Linked DNA regions of Macaca mulatta. The protein of the gene in region 1 interacts with the protein of each later gene in a pairwise test. Links are inferred from orthologs where the notes say so. Each region holds a gene or a part of one and is shown on either strand. Other genes may lie near its edges.

Region 1 (6,356 bases):
CCCAGAATGGCCCCAGGAGCTTTCTGTGTCAGCTGGGGTGGTGGCGGTGGGGAGGAGAGCCCATCTCCTTTGCAACTCTTTCATCCGCCTCTGAAAAGCAGGGAAATGGTGTTTCCCAAACATTTGTGGAAATTGTTGCTCTGAACCTTCCCCACTGCTTGCTCCAGCCTGATCCAAGAAAGTGCCACCGAAATGGACATACCCACCCTGCTCTCGAGTGACTGAGACCTCTCTTGGATTCTCTGTTTGGGGCCCAGGCTAAGGAAGTTGAATTTCTCTCTAGGTGCCAACTCGGGGCTCAGTTGCTGAGAGCTTGCTCTGAGGCCTCAGGCCCTGCATGAGGGCACCTGAGCATGGAACTGGGCTTCTGGACGAGGAGGAGTTCTACGGACAAGGTGGGGAAGAGGCGGCTGCAGGTGGAGAAACGGGAGGGATAAGGGGTGCTGTGAGGAGCACGGAACACCAGAGCCCAGAGTCTGGAAAGGTGGGCAGGAAGCCCCAGCCAGAGAGGCCTAAGTGAGGGCAGAGGGAGAGAGCTCTGGATTTCTGGAGCCCAGGACCGCAGAGTGGCTGCCTCTGACCCCAGGTGAGACGAAGGCAGCACTTTGTGAAACGACTGGGCTGGGAGGTGGCATTTCCTCTAGGCCTGGAAAGGGGTGGGGGCCTAGTGGGGGCCTCCTGCAGTTCCGCGAGGCCAGATTGACTGAAAAAATAACTAGTGTTTCTCAATTATGGAGTTTTCTTTTGTTCTTCTTAATGGAATAGAGCTTAATATGGTTGAAAGGCTGGGCTGTGCAATATAGAAATAGTAACTCCAGGCCGGGCGCGGTGACTCACTCCTGTAATCCCAGCACTCTGGGAGGCAGAGGCGGGTGGATCACCTGAGGTCAGGAGTTCGAAACCAGCCTGGTCAACATGGTGCAACCCCATCTCCATTAAACGTACACAAAAATTAGCTGGGCATGGTGGCATGCGCCTGTAATCCCAGCTACTTGGGAGGCTGAGGCAGGAGAATCGCTTGAACCTGGGAGGTGGAGGTTACAGTGAGTCAAGATCACACCACAGCACTCCAGCCTGGGTGACAGAACGAGACTCCATCTCAAAAAAAAAAAAAAAAAAGAAAAGAAAAAAAAAGAAATAATAACTCCATTTTATCAATTGGTCTAATTTCAAGGCCATGAATTTTTTAAAAAAGAAGAAAAAGAGAACTTTATTAATACCCAGGACCTCATTTACAATCACTGAAGAGGAAAGTGAGCCCATGTGGGACCCTGGCCCTCAGCTACAGAGGTCGCATGTCTTGGTGTGTGGCTGCGGCGCTCACAGGATTTTAGAGCTTCCTAGTCTGTACTCTACCTGTAGGCAGGAGCCAGTCATCTTATTTGTCTGTGGATTTGCAGGAATATCTAAGCATTATTATACCCATTTTGTAGATAATGAAACTGAGGCCCAGAGAAGTCAGTACGTTGCAAGGGCTCTTGTAGCTATCTGGAGCCAGAGCAAGTCGGTATCTATTGAGTATAAACTAAGTTTTGTGGCCCTACTTTTTAACCTAGCCATTGGGACACCTGATTTCTCCTGACAAGTCTGTGTGGCATCTGAGTGCAAGCGATTGTCCAGCAGATGCTGACATATTGGAGTATCTAGGGATGTTCTGGTGGTTGTTATGGCACAATATTTGGACAGTTGTGAAGAATCCTGGAGGAATGGCTGCCTCTTAGATTTGACAGGCATTAAGACCCTGGACTATTCTAAGATGGCTCTCCCTCGCAGCCCGGATGGATGCAAGCAGAACAGCAGCACCAGGGGGAGAGCCTGAGAGGATGGTGCTGCTCATCATGCACTCTGTGCTGTCAGTGGGCACTGAGAGCAGTGCAGGAGAAGCATCCTGGGACGAAATGGGAGGCAGGAAGGGCAAATGGGGAGTCCCTGTGTGCACCTGCTTAGCATCCCCCGGCTACACACAAATAAAATTTTGTGACTTCCTCTTGGGAGGCTGCATACTGGACTCCAGGGGGCCAAGGGTCTGAGTTGGCAGTCCCTGGTGGGTTAGAGACTGATTTTGCTCAGAGTGATCCCAAGACCAGCGTCTGGAGAGAAAGAGGAGGAGAGAAGCCAACCATCCACAGAGAGACCAGCTGAGAGGTGCAATGCTGGCTGGAGTCCCAGCATTAGAACTACAGGCTGCAGGCCAGACATGATGGATGAGCTCCAGACTCTGCAGAAATCACCCTGGAGAGTGGGAAACGCAGGGCTGACCAAGCAAGGGAGAAAGATGAAACCTCTGCATCCTTCCCTGTCCAATAAGATGGCCATTAGCTACCCATGGCTGTTTACATTTAAATTAATGAAAATTAGATAAAACAAAAACGCAATTCCTCAGTCTCATTAACCACATTTCAAGTGCTTGATAGCTATATCTGGCTAGTGGCTGCCAGATTGGACAGTGTAGATATAAGATATTAATATTTCCATCATGCAGAAAGTTCTACTTGAATGTAAATTATCTCATTCATATATTTTGTATTGATTACATGTTGAAATAACATTCTGGACATATAGAGTTAAGTAAGCTATACTATTAACTTTACCTGCTTCTTTTTACTTGTTTTACTGTGGGTAATAGAAACTTGTTGATTACCAATGTACCTCACATTTCTGTTGAACAGGGTGATTATAGGTGGATACAGGAACACACCTCCATTTATTCATTGTTCTTAATACCACATCCATCCAATGGTATTTGACTGGATAATAACTGTAAAAATCCCTTCTCAACAGTAAAGGTGACTGAGGCAGCTCAGGGTAATGGGGCACATGCAACTTTGAAGGCACAAAAATTCAGATTCAAATCTCATCTTCATCCCTCTACTAGCTTTGAAGTCTTGGGAAAATTACATGCCTCAGTTTCTCATCTCAAAAGTGCAATCAATGAATGATCCGCTGCATAGCATGTCTTCGAATTGTAAAGAAGACAGTGGATAGTGCACGTATGGGGGCTAGCGTGGGCTCCTGGTAAACCTTGGTAAAAAGGAGCATTGTTGTTATCATGAACATTTTAAGTGTGAAAGTGTAGGGCATTATGGTCAGTTTCTCTGGCCTCAGCCTACTCACAACCTTACTCCTGCCCTCAGCAGCCCCTCCCAGCCCTCTGCAAAGCCCTTGGCACAGCCTGGACACTTACCTGCTGGCAGCTGCTGGCCCAGGAAGCCCGTAGGGCACCCCAATTTCCCGAGCGCGTGGCCTTGCTCTCCAGGTGCATCCGCAGTTGTGTTTCCAGCTCCTGACTGACTTGTTCAAGGGCATGCACTTTGGCCATATATTCCACCAGGCAGCCCCCTAGGTCCTCAACAGCACCATGGTCCCTCTCCAAACCTGGAGCCGGCACTGTGGCCAGGCCTGAGCTCCGCAGGCCCTGAAGGAAGACACTGCTGATGCCGAGGGCCCGGCGGGTCACACGGGCACCCAGGCCACCTATGCACCCACTGGGTGCTGTTCCTACATAGACCCCAGGTGCTCGGACAAGGCCACTCATGGCATTGGTCCTGGAGGCTGGGGGGCTATCCAGGGAGGATGATGACCGTGGCCCCCTGAAAGATGCCCTGCGCCTCTGGAGGGGCATGCTGGAGCTGGCACTGGGGGGCAGGTCCACTACTACTCGCCTCTCGCTCATCACCCCTTCTGCCTCTGTGGCGCCCAGTGGGTTTACAGAGTCCAGTGGCTTTTGGTTTACAGCCCCAGCATCCCTGTGGCCTGGTCACGGGCCTCTCTGGAATCTCCCCTATCCCCGGGGCTGCTTTGTCTGCTGTCTTCCATGAGTTTCCATCATTCACTGAGCTGAAAGAGAAGAGGGCACTGCCCAGGGCTGTGTGCAGAGAGGCACTCATGCATTCTTTGATGCAGGGTCATGTGCCCAACCTCCCAGATTATTCTGCTGGTGGTGGGGGAGGCTGGATCAGTGCAGGCTGTGGGGGTAGACCATTTGGGTTTGTACATTTTACTACCTAAGAGTGGGCAAGGCAGGCATCAGGCAACCCCATTTTACAGACGAGTAAACTGAGGCTCAAGGACCTCAGATCACAAGTGTGGTGATCACTTGCCCCAGACCTCAAATTACAAGCTAGGACTCAATCTAGCTATTTTGGGGCTTTCTACATCCCTATGTGTACTGGCACATGTGAATGTGAACACATGTCCACACAGGCAATGGAAGATGAAAAGTGTCAGGAGGCAGCTCCAGGGACCCAAGAGAAAAGACTTGCCTACGGTTTCCTCTCTCAGTCCTGACAGCAGCTTCAGGTCCTTGCCTCGCCTCTCTCCTTTCCTCCTCAGCTCTGTCCTCTAATGCTCTGCTGTTCATCAGCTGCTTGCTGTTGGCCAGGATGCTTCCTCCCTCTGGACCTCACTGTTTGAACATTGGCATGAGCCTCCAACTCTCTGATGCACCAGATAAGGACCTTGGGTAGATTCAGGTCCCACACATTATGTTCCAGCCATTCCCTACACCTCTGCTTCTCCATCTGTTGGAAAACTGAGAAAAACAACAAAGACGGTGTTTTCCGGTAAGCTCTCCAAGGGTGCCCCAAGTTAGGATATGATGACACCCCTGGGTTTTAATTACTGACCTTGGCATCCACTAAACCATCAAGGGTCACACCTCAATCCATTCTCTAGGGTCAGAAAGGTTCCTCCAGTTCCAGGATGACAACATGGACCTAAAAACCGCTGTACATAAGTTTTACCCTGGAGAAACCAGGTCACCAAACCCCAGAGCTGGATATTTTTCCAAATGCTGTAATGTAGGAATGTACCTCAGGTGAGAGAAGGAGAAGGGAGCCAACCTCTAGTGAATACCTGATCCAGCCTGGTGTGTGGATGAATCGTATAGTTTATTTCATGGAATTCTCAACTCAGCCTCAGGAGGAAGGAGGTCCAGGGTTGACAGGTACTGCCATATGGGCTGTGAACCTCACAGTTCCAAAAGTACCATATCATATGTTCTACAGTTGGCCACTATCCTCTTACGTGAGGAGGACCCTGAGAACTGCAATGACTTGCCCAAGGTCCCGTGTCCAGAAAGTAGCAGAGCTGGGAGCAGACACCCTCTTCCAACCTCTGGGCCAGTGACTTACTTAGGACCTTCCTTGTTGCCCACCACCCAGAGAGCAGGGTACCTACCTGAGGTCACACAGGTAAAGGTAAAAAACCTGGTCGCCTACTAGAAGACTCTGTGTGCACTTCCTTCCTGCTGACCAGGACACTCCAACCCTTCCTTTCTTTATTGTCTTCCACTTTGTCTGTCTGAGATGGCCGGGAAGGTATTTTATAAATATCAGTGTTGGCTATTTGAGGAACAGATGAAGAACCAATCAGATTAAGTAAAGGACAGTAGTGTCCTTGTTTATTCAGACATAGCATTAATGCTGTGAACACCACCCGATGCACCCAGAAGGGGCAAGCGAGCCTGTGTTACAGTAACAGCCTCCTATACAGGTGACACTGACTTGGTTCTGAGGATCTGCATTATTGTGAATCCCAAGATGTATTGTCCAAGGCTGAATGAAAAGTTCAAGCTACTGATTAAGTTGTGCACAAATGTGTCATGTTTAGGTATTGTTATTCTCTACAGAATGGTGACACTCAATGGCCAGGTTAGCTTCAGACTTCTCTGGACTAAAGATATTTATATATAAATCCACTCAGCCCTGGAGGCGGGGAGAGTGAGGGGGGGATGTACTCTGACACCCTGCCTCCAAAGACCTGATGAAAGATGAGTCTACTTTGGAGAAACTGCAAACATGTTCAAAAAGATTTTATCAAATGATAAATTGCTAATCCTATTAGCTCGTCACATACATAAAACTCACCTTACTGTTAAATCAGATTGAAAAATACGGATGGATATAAAGTGGTGTTGGTACTGCTCAAGGAAGGCTTAGAGCTTATCTTGAAAAGAATGCAAAATGTATTAGCAACGGAATCCTCTGGCTAATAAAATAAGTTTATTTATATATACATGGTAGCTGAAATCTGTGGATAAGGAAAAATAAATCATACATCCACATATGTATATATAACATATGTATCTTTGATTACATATATTATATATAAATTTTACTTTACAGATTTTTCTCTGTATACTCACACACATTGGTATATTAAATGTAACAGTTGACAGAAATATTATGGTAAGGTTAAAAAGGTAAGACAACAACACGCTAGAAAATTAACTTAGAGAAACATTTAGTTGCTTCTTTGTGGGCTGAAGAGTCTTTGAAGAGAGACAACAACCGAACTCATGTGAAGTAGGTTCATACAACATTGAGAACACACTTTCGAAGGCCATCTTTTTTTCT
Region 2 (5,571 bases), on another chromosome or scaffold:
TGTGTATGTGCTATAATTTATTTAACAAATTCCCTAAGACATATTTAGGCTTCTTCCAGTTTTTTACTATTATAAACAATATAGTGATGAACACCTTGTGCATTATCCATATCAGAATTACTTAGGACATAGTCTTAGAAAAGAAGATGCACCCAAACTTTTGATATTTACTATCAGAGAGTTTGTAAGGAGACACCTTGATTTTGCATATCTGGTTGACAAAGATGAACACATTTGGAAACACAGGTGGTTGGTAAAAATGAAAAACTGGGCATCTTGTATACATCAGTGGAGGGTAATTTGGTAATGTCGATCAAAATTGTGACAAACTTTGGTCAGGTGCCTCTGAGCCTTCTCAACCATGCCTCGGCCTTGGCCTGTGATATGGTTTGAATCTGTGTCCTCACCCAAATCTCATGTTGAATTGTAATCCCCAGTGTTGAAGGTGGGGCCTGGTGGGAGGTGGTCGGATCACAGGAGACCAGTTTTATTTAGATAGTGACCACCTATCTTTTAACTGGATCTCTGAGCTCTGGGAAGAGGCCACACTGAATCATGGGTGTCCAAAAAGGGAGAATTATTATGAGGCTAGACCACATGGATGCTTTAACAGTGCACTTAAGAAACATTTTTTTAAAAAAATTTCTAAGTGTCTAAAATATACTCTTCCTTAAAAACGCAAGAGTAGCTTCTGTTGCAATAATTAGTAAAAAGAAAAAAAAAAATATATATATATATATCAGGTAACACAGTACAAAAGCAAGCAGTTTAAGAGCTAAGATGAATTTGTCTGTTTACACTCTTGGGAATGCATAAGGAAAAGCAGTTTTCTCCGCAAATGGGAGTCTGATGCCTTCTCCATTTTCTTTAAGGAACCTCATGCTATTATAAACTGTTTTAGGTCCCTCATGCAGCAGAGGGTGCAAGAGAAAGGAGAGACAGCAGAACTAAATGAAGAAAATAGCCTTCAGTCAACTGAGAAGAAAAAAAAAATTTTGCTCAAAAAACACAAGGACCTAGGAGAGAGAAAAAAGAAAAATCATGAAAGCCTTTTAAACACACACACACACAGAGACACACACATATCTTGGATGTTAGCTTTTAATTAAGCTGACTTTTAAGCTTTTGAGTTTCTTTCAAATTTTTTTTCTAAATCTCTTCAACATATTTCAGCTAGGACGAATAGCTGCTATTTCAGAAGTACCAAGTATCAAACCAGAAAGGTCTTGATTTAGGAACCAAACCCAGGCTGTTACGGAAAAAAAGAAGACAGAACCTCAGCTATGGAACTGCAGTGTGGGTGACAATCATTTCTCTTTCAGTTTGGCCTGGCTAGCAAAAAGATGGCCTTGTTATGTAAATGAAACCACTTAAGTAGTCAAAATCAAAACTCTTCTCCCCCTTTTTTACTTTTACTGGCCGTTTTTTCTTCCCCCACCACCACTTTTCTGATGGGAATTTAGCCACTTCAGAGGCCTTGTTCCACATAATTTGGAACTTTCCTTTGGATTTGATCAAGTCAGATAGAATTGGCCAAACCCAATGGGAAAAGGACCAAAACAGCAAAAACAGAAAGAAACAACAAAAAAAATAGCGGTTAAGCGTAACAAACAAATGATCACACAACTTGTATGATTACTGAACACTGTAATGGTAAGGAAAAATTAAGAGCAGCTGGTTGTTAATCTTACCTTTAGCCAAGACAAACCCCAATTCAGTTACTTACCTAGGGACGGGTCTTAGGCTGAAGACTTGTCTCTATCATCTTAGAAGCAGGAAAAAAAAACCCTCAAACTTGTCTTTCCTGTTGGGAGCGAGTTCAAACTCCAGAAATGAGTTTTCATGGTAGCAGGAAAACTTGCCTTCCTTGTTGAAAGCAAGTAAAACTCCAGAAAAAGAGAAGAGTTGTTCAGAAAATAAACTCTGGCCTTCGAACGAATTTTGGGAAATGAGGGATTCCCTGGATAGGGGACTTCCAGACCTCAGCAACTTGTCAAATTAGTTTGAGCCACAAAGATAGCCAAGCTGCTAGCAGGCACTGGTAGAATATTTGTCAAAGGTCAGGAGCACCTCTACTCAGAATCCCTTTGTGGTTGCCAAAATGTGAAACCCCAAAATCTGAGACAGGTCTCAGTCAATTTAGGAAGTTTATTTTACCAAAGTTAGGGATGCATGCCTGCGACACAGCCTCAGGAGGTCCTGATGACATGTGCCCAGGATGGCAAGGTAGTCAGAGCACAGGTTGGTTTATATGCTTTTTAGGGAGACATGAGACATGAATCAACATATGTAAGATGAACATTGGTTCGATCTGGAAAGGTGGGTCACCTCAAAGCATTGATGAGACAACTTGAAGCAGGGAGGTTGACTTCAAGATCATAGGTAGATAAAAAACAAATGGTTGCATTATTTTGAGTTTGTGGTTAGCCTTTCCAAAGGAGGCAATCAGATATGCATTTATCTGAGTGAGCAGAGAGATGACTTTGAATTCATTTATTTTCAGATTTTTATTTTACAAAATCAGATACGCATCTATCTCAGCAGAGGGTAACTTTGAATTGATTTATTTTCAAATATTTATAAAAAGATTTATTTTCCTTTCACAATGTTAATGCCATAAATAATTTCTTAGATCTACTAATTTTAGTGTTAAAAATAGGTTCCAATAATTATAAAAAATTAATATGAAATATTTTATGGGGAGATTTCAGGTTTAGTATTGGTTGTATATAGGAAAGCTATTTGTATTTATGTATGTTTTTAAACTAACATCCTAAGGCATTTTGCTACTAATCCTTATGGTTTTATAGAAAACTCTCTTAAGAACTTCCTAGATTATGTCATCTGCTAGTTACAGTGATTTTTGACTCCTTGTTCCAGGTTTTTATACCTTCATTTTTTTTCTTGAATTATTATATCAGGAGCTTTGACCTTACTTTGAACAGCCTCAGCAGTGAGAGTATACCCCTGCCCTCACCCAGAGTTTTACAAAGGGCTGCCTGGTATAATTTTATCCTGCAGGGAAAAGCTGACCATGAAGGAGCCTGATTCATCTAGTGTACTGTTCACCTTAGGACAAGGAGCAGGGCTACCACTCTGGCTGGAGACCTGCCCTCAGTCTACCTCAGTCTCAGCCCAGGGGCTGTCAGATCCTTCCTCTGGCCTCTCGCCCTGCTTGATTCTGAAATATTTGGTTTTGTCTCCACAGGGCAGGACACATCCTCACAGAAAATTGAAGACTTGATGGAAATGGTGAAAAAGCTGCAGAAAGGTCATGTGTCTCCTTTGTGTGAGGCTCAGCCTGAGATTTGGGGCCAAGCAGATGTGGGTTCAATTTCCAGCCCCACAATGTATAAACTTGGGAAATAATCCTCTTCATCTTCTCTTTCTTTTAAAACTTAATTACTTAAACTAAAAATCGGGTCCCATGATTCAAAATTAAAGAAGGAAAAAGGGTAAGGAAGGCAAAGTGTTTTCCCAAAACCCTGTCCCAAACCTCTTGCTGGTCACCCATTTGGCTCCACTGCAGTCCATTAAATCCAGAAGTTGCCACCTTTACTTCCCTTCCTTTCCCCTCAACCCCTACTCCCTCTTTGCTCACTAGGCTCCTGCCAGCCATGTTCCCACCTCAGAGGGGGTCTTTGCACTGACTACCTCCCACCCCAACCCAAAGAGCTGCAGGGCCTGCCCCCCGCCACCTGATTTGGGGCTCTCATGATACCTTCCCATATCTGAGGAGCGCTTTCCACTCCTTTGCGCTTTAACCCCCCTTGCCCTACTTTATTTCTCTTGAACACAGTTACCACAGCCCCACTCAGTATCTTATTGTGTCTGTTCCCAGTCTCGCCCACCCAGAACATGAGCCCTGTGAGGGCCCCACACAGCACCTGCTTTCAGTAGGTACTGAATAGATCTGTGTTGCGTGAAAGCAGCAGAGACACCTCTGCCTGCCCTGTCAACTCAACCTCCTTTCCTCCCTGCAGTGGGAAGCCTAGAGCCCCGAGTTGAGGTCCTGATTAACCGGATTAATGAGGCCCAGCAAGGTGAGTTCAGGGGCCTTGGCTGCCAGCTAGTACCAGCTACATGGTTTGCGGGGCTCAGTGCCAAATGAGAATGCAGGGTCCCTTGTTCCAAAGTTACTGGTTATTCACAACAGCAGCAGCAGAGCCTTAAATTAAGTACAGGGCATTTCAGCATGCAACTGCCATAGTTAATATACCCATGATCCTAGCCCTGCTATCAGCAGAGCCTGGCAAGGAGAGCCTGGACTCTGGAAGCCTCGTTTCCTACTGTATAAAATCTAGGCCACTATAGATTTTCCTGAAGGCAAATGAGAAATGTCACTGTTGGCAAGAGAATAGAAGCTGCACTCACACAATGTTTTTCTGCTCTCTGGTGAAGCCAAAAAGAAAGCCAATGAAGACCTAGGAGAGGCCCGGACCATCTGTGAGGCCCTGCGGAAGGAACTGGACTTGCGTAAGAGAGCCGGGGGTCACCCAGAGGTCCCCACAGTGTCTCAAGCTACCCCAACCCTGTATTCCAGATGATAAGCATCCTTGCCATGACCGAGGGTCCTGTACCCTCTCCAGCCTCATGTCCTGCCAGTCTCCCCCTCTCCTCTCTGCTTGTGGAAGTGTTCAAGAAATACCCTCCAACCTCATTCCCACCTCAGAGCTTTTGCCAGGTGCTGCCTATGCTTCCTCAGATAATACAGGTTCCTCTTTCCTCACATCAACAGTTCTAAGTTAGAATGTCCCCAGACAGGATGACTGGCATTCCCCAGTCATCCCATCTAAAGGTGGCACCCTGTCACCATCTGGTCACATGCCCCTTCCTATTTGATGTGTTTCTTCACAGCCCTTACCCGACTTCATGGGTGTTTGTATTTTTTTCTCTCCTCCCCATGTAAAAGCATGGGCATCCTCCAGGGCCCTCACAGCCACCCTCTGTAAATGTGAAGGCCCTTTGGTGCTTACAGGGAATGTGGGCACCAGAGAGTAGGGAGGGGCTCACCTCGAGGGGTTCACATTTGGGTTGGGGGCAAGGCTGTGCCCAACTTCCCATGTGACCGTGAGCAATCCCCATCCCTGAGGGTGCGTTGCATAGTCCCTGATGCCAAAATGTGTCACTGTTTTCCAGTGCATGGAGAGAAAGTACACCTGAAGGAGATCTTGAGCAAAAAACAAGGTATCTGCCACTCCCGTCTCCAGGCTTGTTCCTTTTGCCGGCCCACAGAGGCCCACTCTCCCCCTATGGCAGCTGAAGCCTTTTGAAACCTATCCCAGCTTGCCTCTCGCCTGTGGCTTCCACTAGACGTGTAGTAAATGTTAAAGCTCAATCAAGTGTCCACAGACCTGACATGATCTGGCCGTGTTCCCCTGCCAAAACCTGATACCTTGACAGGTTCTCATAGGGCCCTGTTCCTCTCCCTACAGAGACCCTGAGGATCCTCCGGCTGCATTGCCAGGAAAAGGAAAGTGAGGCACAGAGGTAAGAGCTTCCAGCTGAGCCTAACTCTGCCCCTACCTCTTTATTCTGGTAGAGCAGAAAGAGGCAGGAAGGTGAGTCTGA

What was found. The genes of interacting proteins can lie anywhere in the genome.
Region 2: the proteins of BFSP2 (region 1) and SYCE1 interact in binary tests that used the Homo sapiens proteins (3 or more experiments, as listed by UniProt). The two-hybrid records come from large-scale screens. The link is inferred for Macaca mulatta from reciprocal best matches to the Homo sapiens genes BFSP2 and SYCE1.

What each region holds. Positions count from the first base shown.
Region 1 is NC_133407.1:36,464,526-36,470,881, reverse strand, and holds the start of BFSP2 (phakinin), read right to left. Parts: upstream 3,702-6,356; 5' UTR 3,674-3,701; coding exon 3,185-3,673; intron 1-3,184.
Region 2 is NC_133414.1:145,684,770-145,690,340, reverse strand, and holds part of SYCE1 (synaptonemal complex central element protein 1), read left to right. Parts: intron 1-3,208; coding exon 3,209-3,271; intron 3,272-3,983; coding exon 3,984-4,043; intron 4,044-4,401; coding exon 4,402-4,476; intron 4,477-5,139; coding exon 5,140-5,187; intron 5,188-5,435; coding exon 5,436-5,490; intron 5,491-5,571. UniProt on the Homo sapiens protein: Major component of the transverse central element of synaptonemal complexes (SCS), formed between homologous chromosomes during meiotic prophase. Requires SYCP1 in order to be incorporated into the central element.